2 linked regions of the Caenorhabditis elegans genome follow. The protein of the gene in region 1 interacts with the protein of each later gene in a pairwise test. Each region holds a gene or a part of one and is shown on either strand. Other genes may lie near its edges.

Evidence for each region.
Region 2: the proteins of mrps-17 (region 1) and F49H12.3 interact in a two-hybrid assay, tested with the Caenorhabditis elegans proteins (one large-scale study listed by BioGRID).

The regions. Positions count from the first base shown.
Region 1 is NC_003281.10:6,426,695-6,433,658, reverse strand, and holds mrps-17 (Small ribosomal subunit protein uS17m), read left to right. Parts: upstream 1-1,860; 5' UTR 1,861-1,866; coding exon 1,867-1,971; intron 1,972-2,019; coding exon 2,020-2,099; intron 2,100-2,208; coding exon 2,209-2,506; 3' UTR 2,507-2,617; downstream 2,618-6,964. Other genes in the region: vps-16 (Vacuolar protein sorting-associated protein 16 homolog), read right to left, coding at 1-115, 168-253, 324-418; txdc-9 (Thioredoxin domain-containing protein 9), read right to left, coding at 681-872, 1,001-1,346, 1,390-1,478; Ribonucleases P/MRP protein subunit popl-1, read left to right, coding at 2,758-2,820, 2,869-3,087, 3,135-3,329, 3,703-3,786, 3,908-4,431, 4,483-4,631, 4,681-5,359, 5,580-5,720 and 2 more; fhip-1 (FHIP family protein C05D11.8), read left to right, coding at 6,236-6,326, 6,373-6,964.
Region 2 is NC_003284.9:2,080,976-2,087,589, reverse strand, and holds F49H12.3 (Potassium channel tetramerization-type BTB domain-containing protein), read right to left. Parts: upstream 3,216-6,614; 5' UTR 3,215-3,215; coding exon 3,042-3,214; intron 2,908-3,041; coding exon 2,712-2,907; intron 2,666-2,711; coding exon 2,594-2,665; 3' UTR 2,533-2,593; downstream 1-2,532. Other genes in the region: F49H12.2 (uncharacterized protein), read right to left, coding at 860-1,091, 1,141-1,213, 1,262-1,360, 2,197-2,302; F49H12.4 (uncharacterized protein), read right to left, coding at 6,194-6,211.

The DNA of each region.
Region 1 (6,964 bases):
CGAGTCCATTCCATAAAAACTGGTTCATTGAATGCCATGTCTCGCTTCAAAATTCTTCCACTGATGGTTCTGATCCAAATGTACCAGGAAGCTGGACGAGGAGAATATGCGACAGCTGAAAATTTGATACGTTTTGTATTTAAAATTTAATAGTAAGAAAAAATTACCGATTGGACCTGAGAATTGGCAAGCCGTAAAGTAAACGACATATTTGAGATTTAACGAGTTTGTTCGTAGATACTCTTGTGTGAAACTGAAACCGAAGTGTTCGAAAAGTTTCGAAGTTTGGGAAGCCCGTGTAATGCCGAAAAATTTAAACTTACTACAGCTGTTGATCTCCCAAAAACACTGAACTACTCGGACGAAGACACAACTCTCCATCTAGTTTTGGTTTTGATGGAGCATGAGACTCCCCCATTTCTGGAAATACATTATCTTAATATCTAAAATACTTATTTTACATTAAAAATAATTCTGGATATTAACCGAACGGCTATTTTTCATTTTTCAAAGGATAATATGCTCTTTATTTGCGATTACGAAATTGTGAAAAAGGTAGATAAAACAGCAAACACGGGAGGAGGAAAGCGAAAAAATGGGAAATTATGTGAGATCAAAATGCACATAATTATCAGCAAATGAGAATATGAAAACAAGAAAAAATCATCTTAAGATGGCATCTACCAATCCTCTTCGTTATCGTACTCCTCAACTCCTGATCTAATGATTTTCTTTTTTGCAGGAGCTGTATGCTTCTTCTCGACAGTCAATACTTCAGATCGAGCCAATCGGTTTTCCATGGTCTCGGTGGTAAACTCATCTTTTCCTCCCAATTCATCAAATCCACGAATGTAATCGACGGTTTGTTGCTTCTAAATTTATTTTTTTTTAACTAAATAATCTGGTACAGATGCCAACAAAACTCTATGAAACTAGTCAGATTTGAATTATACAACTTCAGAAAAAAAAATACTATAGCAGGAACCACATTCAAACTTACCACGACGATAGCGATGCTTGGAATGACACGAATATTGAGACGAGTTGTCAGGAAATGAACCTTCTCGGCGTTGACATGTATGAATCGTGTTCCAACATGCTTTCTAGCCAAGATCTCGAAATGCTTATCCACAATTTTGCATCGGAAGTTTCCAGGTAAGTAGAAAAGACAGACAACTTTATCGCTTTTCTTTGTAGCTTCGAAGAACTCCTTCTCGTCAGCAACTTCCTCGTATTTTCCGTGCCCATGAGACAACATCTCAATTCTGTCTTTTTGAGCTTTCTTCATTTGTTCCATCCGTTGACGACGAATTACCTCAAGATCGTCTTCTTCTAGGTTCTCAAGTCTAAAAACACACATGACAAACAGTTTCTACATTTCAAAATTACTTATTCATCTCCTGGTCGATCTGTTCCTCGACAACTTGAGCTGCTCGTAAAAGCTGCTCCCCAAACTGCTGTTGAATATTAGCGGCCATTTTCTGAAAAATTTAACAGAATTAAATTCAAAATTTAGGAAATTGGAAAGGGAAGACGGCATAATAAGAGCGGAATAAGAGGCATATGACCACCTGGAATTCTAATTACACCCTTTTTATGCCTGAAGGACCATAAAAATCGATAATGAGAAGCTACGAGAATGTTTGGAAATTCCATGAATTTATTCCAAACAATTATTTCTAGCTGTTCAGTAGAGCACACTTGTATGCTTGCACGAAACTGTGCAAACACCATCACGTCAGAATGCACACACACTTGGCAACAATTTTAATTAAATTTTATTCTTAATTTTCAGTTTTTTCGGTTCAGTTTGTATTTAAAAATAATTATTTTGATTTAATTCTTCTATTATTTATTGTGTTTCAGATGCCGAAGACCTCTGTGTGGAAAACGCGCGTTGGAACGCAAATTTTGATGGGTAAAATCACCGACATCACTCAAATTGGAATTGATAGAATTCCATGTGCTCAAGTTGGTTCAATTCTTGAAGACTTTTCGAAGTGTATTGTATTATTTTAGGTAAGATGTCAGATGAACGAATTCAACATCTATCTGAAGAAATATTTCGCCCGATCGTTCGACTTCTGGGCTCTCGACAAGTGAGTTTAAAAATAAGTTGTTTAAAATACCTGTTTTAGAATTACTGCATTTTCTCTGAACTGAATTTATCAATGTGAGAATTACATTTCAAAATTGAAAACATTTTAGAACATCACTTGGAAACATCGGAGATACAGTGCTCATCAAGCAGATCGATGGTTCTTCCCGCCCAAAGGCCAACGTCTCTCATGCTGTTGACCGTGTAGTGTTTAAATTCGGAAACATTGTCGATCCAGTCACAGGACGCAAAATATTCAACGACACATTCGCCGATGAGATTGATTTGAAGAAGGTTTTAGTGGAAGAAGTTGTGGATAAACCATTAGAAGAAGAATCAATGCTATTTGAAGAGAGAAGAGCCCTACAGATCAGAAGATTAGAACAGGAAAAAGAGGCAAATGTGTAGTTTTTGAATGTTCTGAATTTAGACGTTTGATCTGTTTTTACTTTTTGGGAATAGTTAGTTCGTTGTTGTTTATTGTTTGTCGATATTTACATTCAAAAATGAAATGTTTCTTTAAATTTTATTTTTAAAACTTTATACTTCAAGGTTGACTTGATCCTTGTATATTTTTCCAAATTATTTTTTATAATTTTATAACTACAAGTAAATTCAAATTCAAGATGGACATCTCACGTCCGGTGGTTGAGAAACCTATGTTTATAGAAGTCGAAAAGTTCGTGGAAGCTCGAACAAATTCCATTGCACAGCTACTAAAGGTAATTTTTACAACTATAATCTTCAATTCTTCCAAATTTAATTTTCAGGCTATTGACAATGACGCCCTTGTGTCTGGTGAAGTCACAAAAGGTCCAAGAACTGCTGCTCAAAGATTGCCACGTCACATGAGAAGAAGAGCGATGGCATACGATATTCGTCGATTTCCAAGAACAATGAGAGAGTTTGCAGCAGCACATTTAATTTCAAAACATGCTAAAAAGTGTCCAAGTCGGTTTGCGAGACGAAAAAGTGCAAATTCTCGAACAGTAAGAACCCAAATTAACTAAATACTAAATTGCTCGTTTTTTTCCAGAAATTTGGCAGAAGCACCAGTACAAAAGGTATCTGGCTCTCGACACATGTTTGGCATGCGAAAAGATTTCGAATGATTCAAAAATGGGGTTTCAAACTCGCGGATCGCAGCTTTCAACGTGGATTTCGAGCAGTTTTAAGAGATTCTAACAAGAATTGTGTGATTCGAGATAGATCATATTATACATGTGTTACTGTAAGTATTGAAACCAAAGAAAACATTAAGTATTTAGACGTCTAGATTTTTTTCCTCTTAACATTTAACATAAAATTTAGAAAAAAATCTAACATTTTCGTTTTCCCTATATTTCCAATAAAAATTTCGATTTTTCGAAATATAGCTTTAAATTTTCCTCATTTTTCTTTTCTTTTTTAAGACTTTTTTTCATTTTTTATCAACAGTAAACAAAATTTGGTAAAAATTGAAATGTTTCCGATACTTCCATTTTCCATAAAATCAGATGACATCTTTGTTTGAAATAGTCCGAATTCGGATTTTATTTTTCCACTTTTAGTATGCTTACTATTCAAAATCTAAAATGCTTACTATTCAAAATCTAAATTTTCAGATTCAATGCACCGATGCTTATTCAAAAATCTCCCAGTTCTCACAAAAAGGATGTCGAGGGCAGTCATCACGCGATGAAGAAGAGGTAATCATTGAGAGGGAGAGATGAACCGGTTCCTCGTCATTTTCTATCAGCTGTTAGCACTTCTTTATCGTTTTCTGTTGCGCATAAATCTATTTTCATGATTAACGCATTATCTTTCCAGGAATGTCACCAACTCTACATGCCAGGAAAATACCCATTTGGATATATTGGACCTGCAAGATTCCAACGACTCTCTGGTGACAAAGTTCATATATGGATTCATCCATCAAGCAAACTGCAATTCATGAAAGCACTTCTTGAGTACTATAATCTTGAGAAACAAGAGAATACAGAAGAAGATCTTTATAAAAATTCTGAAATTAAAGTTTCAATCGATGCAGAAAACATTTGCCGATTTCATTTATCCGGTCCAAAGTGTCTTTCGAAACTTCGCGACTCGATTCGATTTGTTAATGACGAAAAGTTCAGTTCAGAACACAATTATTTCTTATCTGTATCGGATTCCGTTTTTCAATCAAGTCGAGATGGAGAAGTTATCAACTTGCTCATCGAAGACCCGAGAACAACTTGGGATAGGAAAACAGTTCTGAAACACAAAAAAGTGAACAAAGAAGCTGATAATGAGAGGATTCGAGTAAGCAAATTTTGGAATAAAGAATTTAGAGAAATGGCGATCGAGAAAAGGTATGATTTTAAAAAAAGTGGAATTTCAGTAATTCAATTATTCAAATTTAGAATGGCAGATTCTGAATTCCACAAGCAGAATTCTTCAAAAATCAACGGAGTCATTTCAACTGAAGCGAAGGTTCCAATCATTCTGATCATTCGAAATGAAGGATTAAAAGCACTAGACGGTGCAGATATTCTGATTCCAGAACCTTTTGGTATAGTTTTGAGAAAAACTAACAATTTTGAAGATTTATTTTTTTTCAGCAAAAGACTTCTGGGTATCACTTCAACGACGAGGTGTCCGTGCAAGTGGACTTCGTGATGAGTATGCAGCACATTTGGAATCTAAAGCTCTTTATTATCCTCTAGACGATGTTGGCTCAGAAGCTGGACGAGAATCTGAATTGGCGATGAAAAAAGAACTAATTGAAAAGTATCTTGGAAAGCCTCATAATAGAAGATGCAAGCATTGGAGTGCTGTATCAGTGAAGTATCCATTTGAATTTAAATGGGATGAGCTTTCTCAGGACTGGAACTTATCCAATAAACCTAGAAGTGAAGCTTTTGTATGCCGAGATCTTCAAAAATTACGGATTATCGAAGAAGCTATGAAGAAAGGATCGGGACTCGAAGAATTTCAAGAACCTGGTATGCTAATTCCAGTGAAACTTCAGTTTTTTGGAAGAGGAAGACCGAAAAAGTATGGAATGGTGTGTCTGCCAACGGATGATGATTTGATTTCAATTCGAAAGAATCGAAACCGAGAGATTATTCAAACACCTCCAGAAGCTTCTTCTCAAGATTCAGATATCGTTGAAGCTATGGAAATTGAAGAAATTACAGTTAAAAAGAATCAAGGATTTATGTCTCTTGAAGCAGCTGCGTCTGAAAAACCAATTAATTTGAAATTACTTTTTGAGGAGACTACGAAATTGGATGATAAGTGAGTTTAAAAAAAACCAAGATTTATCGAGTATAAAAACGTTTCAATGTTTTCATAAACATTATCAGAGTAAAACCTGTTTTTAAAAATTCTGAATATAAAAAAGTTAAATTCAAATCATACGATTAATAGGATAGATTTTGCCAAAATACCAGTGTTTAAAAGTCAACTTTTGCAAAATTTTGTAGAAACACATGGTTCAAATACCAATATTTTACAGAACCACCAAACGAAAACGAGTGAATCGAAAAAAGCGAGAGTCGAAAAAACGAAGAAAGATTGAGCAAGAAAAACGGAAAGAAGAAGCTGAAGTTGAAGAAGTACAAAAACTGGCGACAAAGTACAGATTTTCTGCCAATCGGTATGAATTTATGTTCCGTTACTATTCTCGTATTGTAATAATTGCAGTGAGATAATTGGTCGACTGGTTGCCGGAGAACAAAGTGTACTTGCTGGACACGGTGTTGGTATTGGATACATTTGTGCGAATACCCTCTCTCTTATTGCTTCGAATTATCACAAATGTAAGTTTTTTTTAACTTGAAATTGAATAATTAATATTTTTCAGCAAAAACTGTAGTTATGGTCAGAAACTCTACATCAAAATACTACCATCCAGCGTATGTGACGATTCTTAAAAATGCGACTAAAATCTAAATTCGGTTAGAATTAAATAAATTTTTTTGTTATTTGATATTTTCACACTTTTACCCACTTTTTGTTGATTTTTTCAAACTATTGTTGTTGTCTTGCCTATAAAGTTTTATGCTTAAAATTAGTTTATGAATTTTGATAATTATTGGGTTTCACACCATTTTTTATTTGATTTTGTGCTGAAATATTATTTCTTAACCCTTTACTTTAGGATCCCAGATAATGAAAAGATGGTTGGAAAAGATCACATCACCATTGAAACCACAGGAATCATCAAGTGATTGGGTTAGAGATGAACTTTATTCGGGTACTCGTAAGTTGAACTTTTTATAACTTGATAATGGACCTGAATTTTTCAGCTACATCTGTCTCCCGAGCTCGATGGTCTTCAGCGTACGCTTCAGATCCGACAGTATGGGAACAACTATTTGAAACAAAATGGAGCGTTGTTAGCAACATTCTCGAACGGAAGCTCAGTGATCCAGAGCACAAAGTTGTTTATGATGAGCTAATGTCACTTTTGGAGAATATGACAAATATGTGTACATTACTCATGTTAGAAGCCAACTCACAACCTGAACCAATTATCGGACCGATTCTGGATAAATTCTTTACTGAACAAATTCTAGAACGAGTGCTGGATTGGTCGATTCAACTGACTGATTCTTTGAAATCGATATGCCAACTGGCTATCATTCGAATATTCGAAATGATAGTTTCAGATTCGCATTCTCAAAATCACTGTCTTCTGGTTCACAAGCCAATCTTAAATCCTCTATTTCGGCTATGTGAATGGTTTCAACGAGCAGATATCTACTGGAGAGTATCTAAATCTGAAAATAAAAAGACTTCAGAAGCTGAAAAGATGTTCGTTTTGCTTTTGAATCAGATTTGTACAAAGTTAGTTGAAGACAGAACACTTTTACATTTCTTCTTCCACTCCAATCAATT
Region 2 (6,614 bases), on another chromosome or scaffold:
CTCAACCTAGGGAAGTCGGTTCGATAAACATAGTTAGGGATGAGTAACGGTTTGGACGCCTTTTAACGTATAAATTGAATATGTGCTTAAATGATCGAATTTTGTAATTAAATTTTTTTTTAATCTACAAAATTTTATATGACGGTTCAAAATTTCGAAAAAAATTATCCAACTTTTTTTTTACTTTTCCGTGCCGCAGTGATTCAAAGTAGATTTGTTTTAATTATTGTCATTTTTTTTGCAAATTTTGGTAATTTACCTTATGTTGTTTTGTTGATTAAGGTATTTTTGGAAATTTTGAACCGCCATAAAAAACTTTTGAAACAATTTTGAGTCGTTTCATTAAAAAATTCGTTTATTTAAGCACATTTTGGGTCTATATGTTCAAAATCGTCCAAACCGGTACTTCTCCATTAAATTTTTATAGCCTTTAATATCAATTTTTTAAAGCAATGTTCAGAAAAAAACTGTTACTAATCTATGCACACTTTTTTACAATTTTCATATTAAAATATTTCAAATATATTATTCAGATTTCCAAGGCTTACATAATTTTTTTTATTCATTTTAGTTTGCTTTGAAAGCCAGAATACATTTCATTGTTTGAAATATTATTTCCAAGGTATAAATTTCCTCAGAAAAATTATAGTTTCTAAATTTTCACAGTTCTGCAGTTTTTCATAATACATATTTATTTTTTTAGCAAAGAATTATAAATACAAGTACTTAAATTACGCAAAAAAATTATTTTGGAAAATATAAGCAATAAAGAAGAAAACAAGTCTTTTACAAGTTACATTATGAAAACTATACATGTCGTAATATAAAGTCATGCGATTTTTCAGAAATTACCAGTAAATTATTCAACAACCAGATTGCTAGAAACTAAGAAAAAAGAACCCCCTGAAGAAGTCGGATTCAACTTTTTAGGCGGCTCTAGAAACTCATCCATAAAATGAGTGTCACTAATGGATATGGGAGTAATGTTTGATGATTTCTTTGGAGGTGGCTCTTTCTTTTCCACTTTATGTACTTTGTCATCTGGCGGTGTCTCTGGTTTCAAATCAGAAGTTGAGTGTGCATCCTCTTCACTGAAACTTTTAGTCTTGATTTTGAGTTTAAATTATTACAGTAAGATACTTAGAAATCAGGCTTTGAGTGTCCGAAGGAGTATGTATTGCTGGTGTTTCAAGTCTATTATTCTCTCTTTCATCTGCAAAAAATACATTGGGTTCTTTTTCTTTTATGACCTTTCACCCACCAATTTTCTCCAGATTTCGGTTTCGCTTCCTTAATTGGTTTTCAAATTCTCCAGGCCAAACGACTTTCGGTTTTTTTGTTGGCTCGGCGTCTACCACATCTAAAATTGAAATATATAAGTTGTAGGGCAAGAGGGTTTGTACTTTGTGACTGGAAAAATTGAACTACATTTTTTTTAAAATCAGCATTCAGTTTCATTAGGTTTATCTTACATAGATAAAGAGCAATTTTAAGCTTCAAATGATTTTTTTCGTGTTTTCTGGCTAAAACCATTGGTTCTCTTTGATTTTTCCATAATATTTGATTAGAAACATTTTTTGTCAATTTTTAAACATTTTTCCGTGAAAGTAAATTGCGGAAAGTTCAAAATTTATCTAAAATCGGCAAGTTAGTCTGAAAACATGTCAAAAATGACGTCGCTGACTTTTACGGGACTACAAATTCACTGTTTCTTTGATTTTCGTAAAATTGAAAAAAAAATCATAAAAAAGATTGACAATCTTTTAAAAGTGATATCTGACATACTAAGATTGTCATTTAGAGCAGAAAAAATTGACTCTAAGCAACATTTCAAAAAAGGATAAAAAGCTATTTTAAACCAAATTTCACGAATTGCCCCCTATTGCGAAATCGCTCGTAAATCTAGAACAAAAATTTTAATTTAGTTCTTGCAATATCTTTTTTGTAAAACAAAATCAATAAATTCTGAAAGTATAATTTAATTTTAAATCTTGAAATTTTTTTCTGAATCTATTAACTACAAAACTTAAAAAAAGGAATTGACAAAAATTTCGTCAGTTGACAAATTTACTAGTAAAGGAAAACTGGCAATTGAGATGTATGTTGTGAAAGTTGGCCCACGGTGTGCAATACTAATAGAGAAAACACGGCATTTCGTAACAATATAAAACATCCAAAATACGTGGAAAAACTAACCATGATCCAAGTATCGCTTTCTAGTCTCGTCATACTTTTCTCGATTTTTTTGTCGCTTCCGTTCTCCCTGTACCCAAACATATCGTTGAAAATCGCCAGCAAGCATTAAAAAAAAGTTTCAAAATCTTCGGGAATAGTTTCAAAAAGTGGTAGACACGTGCGTTTCTAAGGGGATTTTTTGTTTTGGATGACTTGCTAATTTTTTGGCAGGGGGCCACGTTAGCAAACATACATTGGTTGTTGAAAAAAACGGAATTTGTTACCAGATAAATAATAGTTTTGTAGAGAATTGAATACGTCAATTAGTGAAAGTAAGTAGTTAATTTTCCACAAAACCGCAAAGAAGAATTCGTTTATTCTGTAGCTTTTATCACAAAATATAGATTTATTACAGAATTTAAAAATCTTCTTCATCCTCTTCCTCTTTTTTGTCAAATCCTTGCGGGCAACTTGTGCTTTTGGCAAGCATCTGAAATTCAACAGATAATTATCATAGTTTTTAAGTATATAAATACCTCGTTTATATAGTTGGAATCATTTTTATTACTACATAGCTGAAGCATGCAGATTGCTTGATCACGTAGTTGAGGCAGAAGGAAGAAATCTGCTTCCTGTGTCAGCATTGCCAACCTGTCTGGGTCTTTTGGTAGACAGGCTTCCCAAAGCTGTCCAGCTTTCCGGAGACGAAAATAGTTGAGCACGACGCCGAATCTGAAAGAAAGTATTTAAAGATTTATTTTTTTTTTTCAACTACAATATATTATAATTTCCATCGTCCAAATTTCCAAATTACCAAATTACAATCATGAGAATAATTTTAATAAATACCTTTGTGATTCACTTACGAAAATGGGTCTCTATCGACAAAGTACGCGCCATCTCGGTCGCTTGTGAATGGGGACGCCTTTGTTCTTGACACAAACCATTTGTGGAAAATTGAGTCAACTGGGAAAGTCGTCTTCAAGGTTGCCATTGGAGTTCCTCCAACATTGAAGCGAATTATCAGTGTTTCGGACATTCTGAACGAAATTGTGTACATAAAAAATTTGGAATAATAAATTCGTAAAAGATTTAGTTCAAAGAAACAAAAGAAACATGTTAAAGTTTCTGTTCTTGGAAAAGATGTACGAAGAAAGACAATTCTCATGAAATGTTAAGCACAAAATGTCATTGGACATCTCTCAAAGGGCACCACCACTTATTCGAATTGAGCACAAAACAGAGTGGGGGCCCCTCTGCCACCCCACATTTGAGATTCATAAGCCGGTGAGAGAGAAACGAGAACGGGCGAATACATATTTGAGAGAGAAAGAAAAGGTGGTGTGAGCCAGCAGCGTACATGCAAATACGTATGAGCTCTGCGTATTACTTGCTCAAATGTGAAACGTTAATGTCAGCAATGATAAAATAATTGAAAGCTATTTTCAAACAATCACTATTCAAAAAGTTAAAGTTTAGATTTTTTTAAATTTTAAATTTTTGAACAGGTGTATTTTTTTGACGAATGTATAATAAGTGAAGAACCTTTAATATAGATTTAATTTTAAAATATGTATAATAGTTCAAATTAGTCATCATAGAACACTTGAAACAGTTTTAGATTTTTTAACATTTCCAGTCAAAGTTTTGATGACTTGCCAAATTTTCTGCGTTGTTTTAGCCGACGGCCGACTACCAAAACATATGATAAATGAAAACTAATTTCACCAACTGTTTAATTACAAAACTGAACATTTCAAAAGTTTTCCCAACAGTTTAACTGCGATATTTGGACATTTTTGAATTATAGGAGCATTTAAAACTATATTAGCATTTTAGCAATATAGGAGCACCTTTAATTATTATCTACAACACTATAAAAGCAATAATTTTTTTTTCAGTATTTCAAGTAATAGAACCTGAACACATATTATATTTCAAAAAACGGATAAAAAATTGGATGAATCCATTTTTATCTATCAAATGCTCATTTGATAAGCTTTAGATACACTCCATATTTCGCAATACTAGCACGTTTTGCACATGCACACTAGAAGAGCAGGTGGTCAAATAGCTCGGTGTATTTTCTCATTTATTATGTATTAATTTTTGGAAACAATTTTCAGGAAACAATACTGGCACAATAAGAACATTTTCACATGCAATCGTTCCCAAACAGAGACCACCGCAAAAAGAAGAGTAAAAAAAAAGGATTTGACGTATCACGGGAAATGAACTAAACTGAACTCAACTACCGCGCCATTTATTTGCTGTCAGACAATGGGAAACGAGAGGAAATGACCCAGAGGTCTTCTTTTTCAATATAAAAAATAACATGGGAAATGGAACTGCCATGTTTAGCTTGATGCTCCACCAATCTTTTGCTCGAATCAGAAAGGCTGTCTCTTTTGGGCATTGAAATTTGATACAAGAGAAATAGAAGAAAGAGTGGAAGAAACACATGTGAAGTCTAAATTCTGTGAATAAGTGCAAAATGGCTGAAGCGCGAGAATGAAATATGGTTGAAAAGAAGGAAGAATGAAAGGCCTGACTGAAGAGGCGCGCATTTCATGCCCAAATTACACCTGACCAGTTTTGTCGATTCTCTGCCCCGCTACTTTTTTTCCATGTTACTATTTTACTGCAGACATGCTATTTTAAAATCATTATTCTTTCACGATTATTAGACTAATATCGAACTTGGATTCGGCAGTTAAAACTACTGTTACTTGCATGAATTTTATAAATTGGGATATTTTTTGTAACGTGTTCTTTGAACGAGGTATGTATTACGATTTCTAGCATATGCTGAAAAATTAAAAGTTAGATAAGTTGTTTACTAAACCATGAAATCTTAGGTAGTTTTTTTTGCAAGGCAATCAAAAGCATTTTTGCTGAAGACCATTTCAAATTTACGAATTAAAAAGTTTAAGGCATTTGTTGAATTGGTGTAGCCTACCTGAAATTGACTGATATTTCAGCAAATTTTGAACTTCACCTTTCAGGTATTCGGTATTTATAAATTTTTAGAGGCATTTATGTGTTTTTAATTTTACAGAATCTATGAAAATATTGTTTTTGGAAATCAAATTTCTGGCAATCGACGATTTTGGCAATTGTTGTGGGCCTGCTTCAAAGTTACAAATTTTTTACTGCAAAACATATTTAATATATTATTTTTGCGAGATTTCAAAAACTGTAGCATCAAAATTGAAAGTAACACTGCGCGCAAAGTTTTTCTCAATTTGGTAAGTCACAAATTCAGGTTAAAAAAAAGAAACACAATTTTTCCTTGTTGAATCTCCACTGTTCGTTTATAATTTTTCGGCATGCAGAATTGAAAAAAAAATTCCGCACGTGTCTCTAAAGTCAACTGTGGTGCTGCGGTGTTTAATTCACTCATAACAAAGGTAGGGACTCCCTCGAAGAACTGTATGGCTTCATCGAATTTGTCACTAACTTTCTGTTCTTTGAAAAAATAGCTCAATAGATTCGTAAACCACCAGCGTGATTTTTTTAATATCTATAACGTTTGGAAAATACTTCAAAAAATTTTTAAAGGTTCTTCAAACTTTGCAAATATTAGTTATCGAAAATGGCGTTTCAAACTACACTAGAGAAAACTTTCACTTTATAAAAGTTAGATTTAACATACGAATTATTAGTTGTAAAACTCTTTTTTTTATCCACCTCATTTCTAATAATTTCAATTTGTTATACATTGAAATTAAGGATGAAGAATTTATTGAACAAGTCTTGAAAACCAAAAGTTCTTTATAAAATTAATATTTGGCATATTTAAAATTTTCCAAATATTTACAACATAGACCATTAACTACATAAACACAGGGAAACCAGTTCAGTAATACTATCCATCATGATAAATAATTTTTAGATCGTTAAAACATGAGATTTAAAAACGAGAAGGATAATATACAGGGAATGAGAACAAAGCTTTTTCAGGTTGAAAAAAAAACCGGTAGAAATCAGTCCATAAGAACACATTGTCTAATGAAATTTACAGCAGAACGGATTCCTGAAATTAGAAAATTAATTTTTTGGGAGGTGTAATGGTTCTGGTTTTTTGAACGTAAAGACCCAACAAGTGCTCAACTAAACAGATCTCATAATTAAATTTCCCAAAAAATTCTCATAATGGAATTGATATTTCCGGCAAATCGGCAAATCCGCATCTTGCCGGAATTGAAAATTTCCGACAAATCGGCAAACCGGCAAAATGTTGATTTGCCGAAAACGGCAATTGCTGAAAAATTTTGGCAAATTGTGGTTTTTCGCTTTTTCTAAAGATATTTCAGAATTCCAATTCCAATCAGCAACTCATACATTTTCCTACATCTATTTTGAAAAGTAAGCAAAATTTTCAAAAAGGTACAGTTCTAATTGTTCCCGTTTTATAAAAACTCTCTTTAAACATTTCC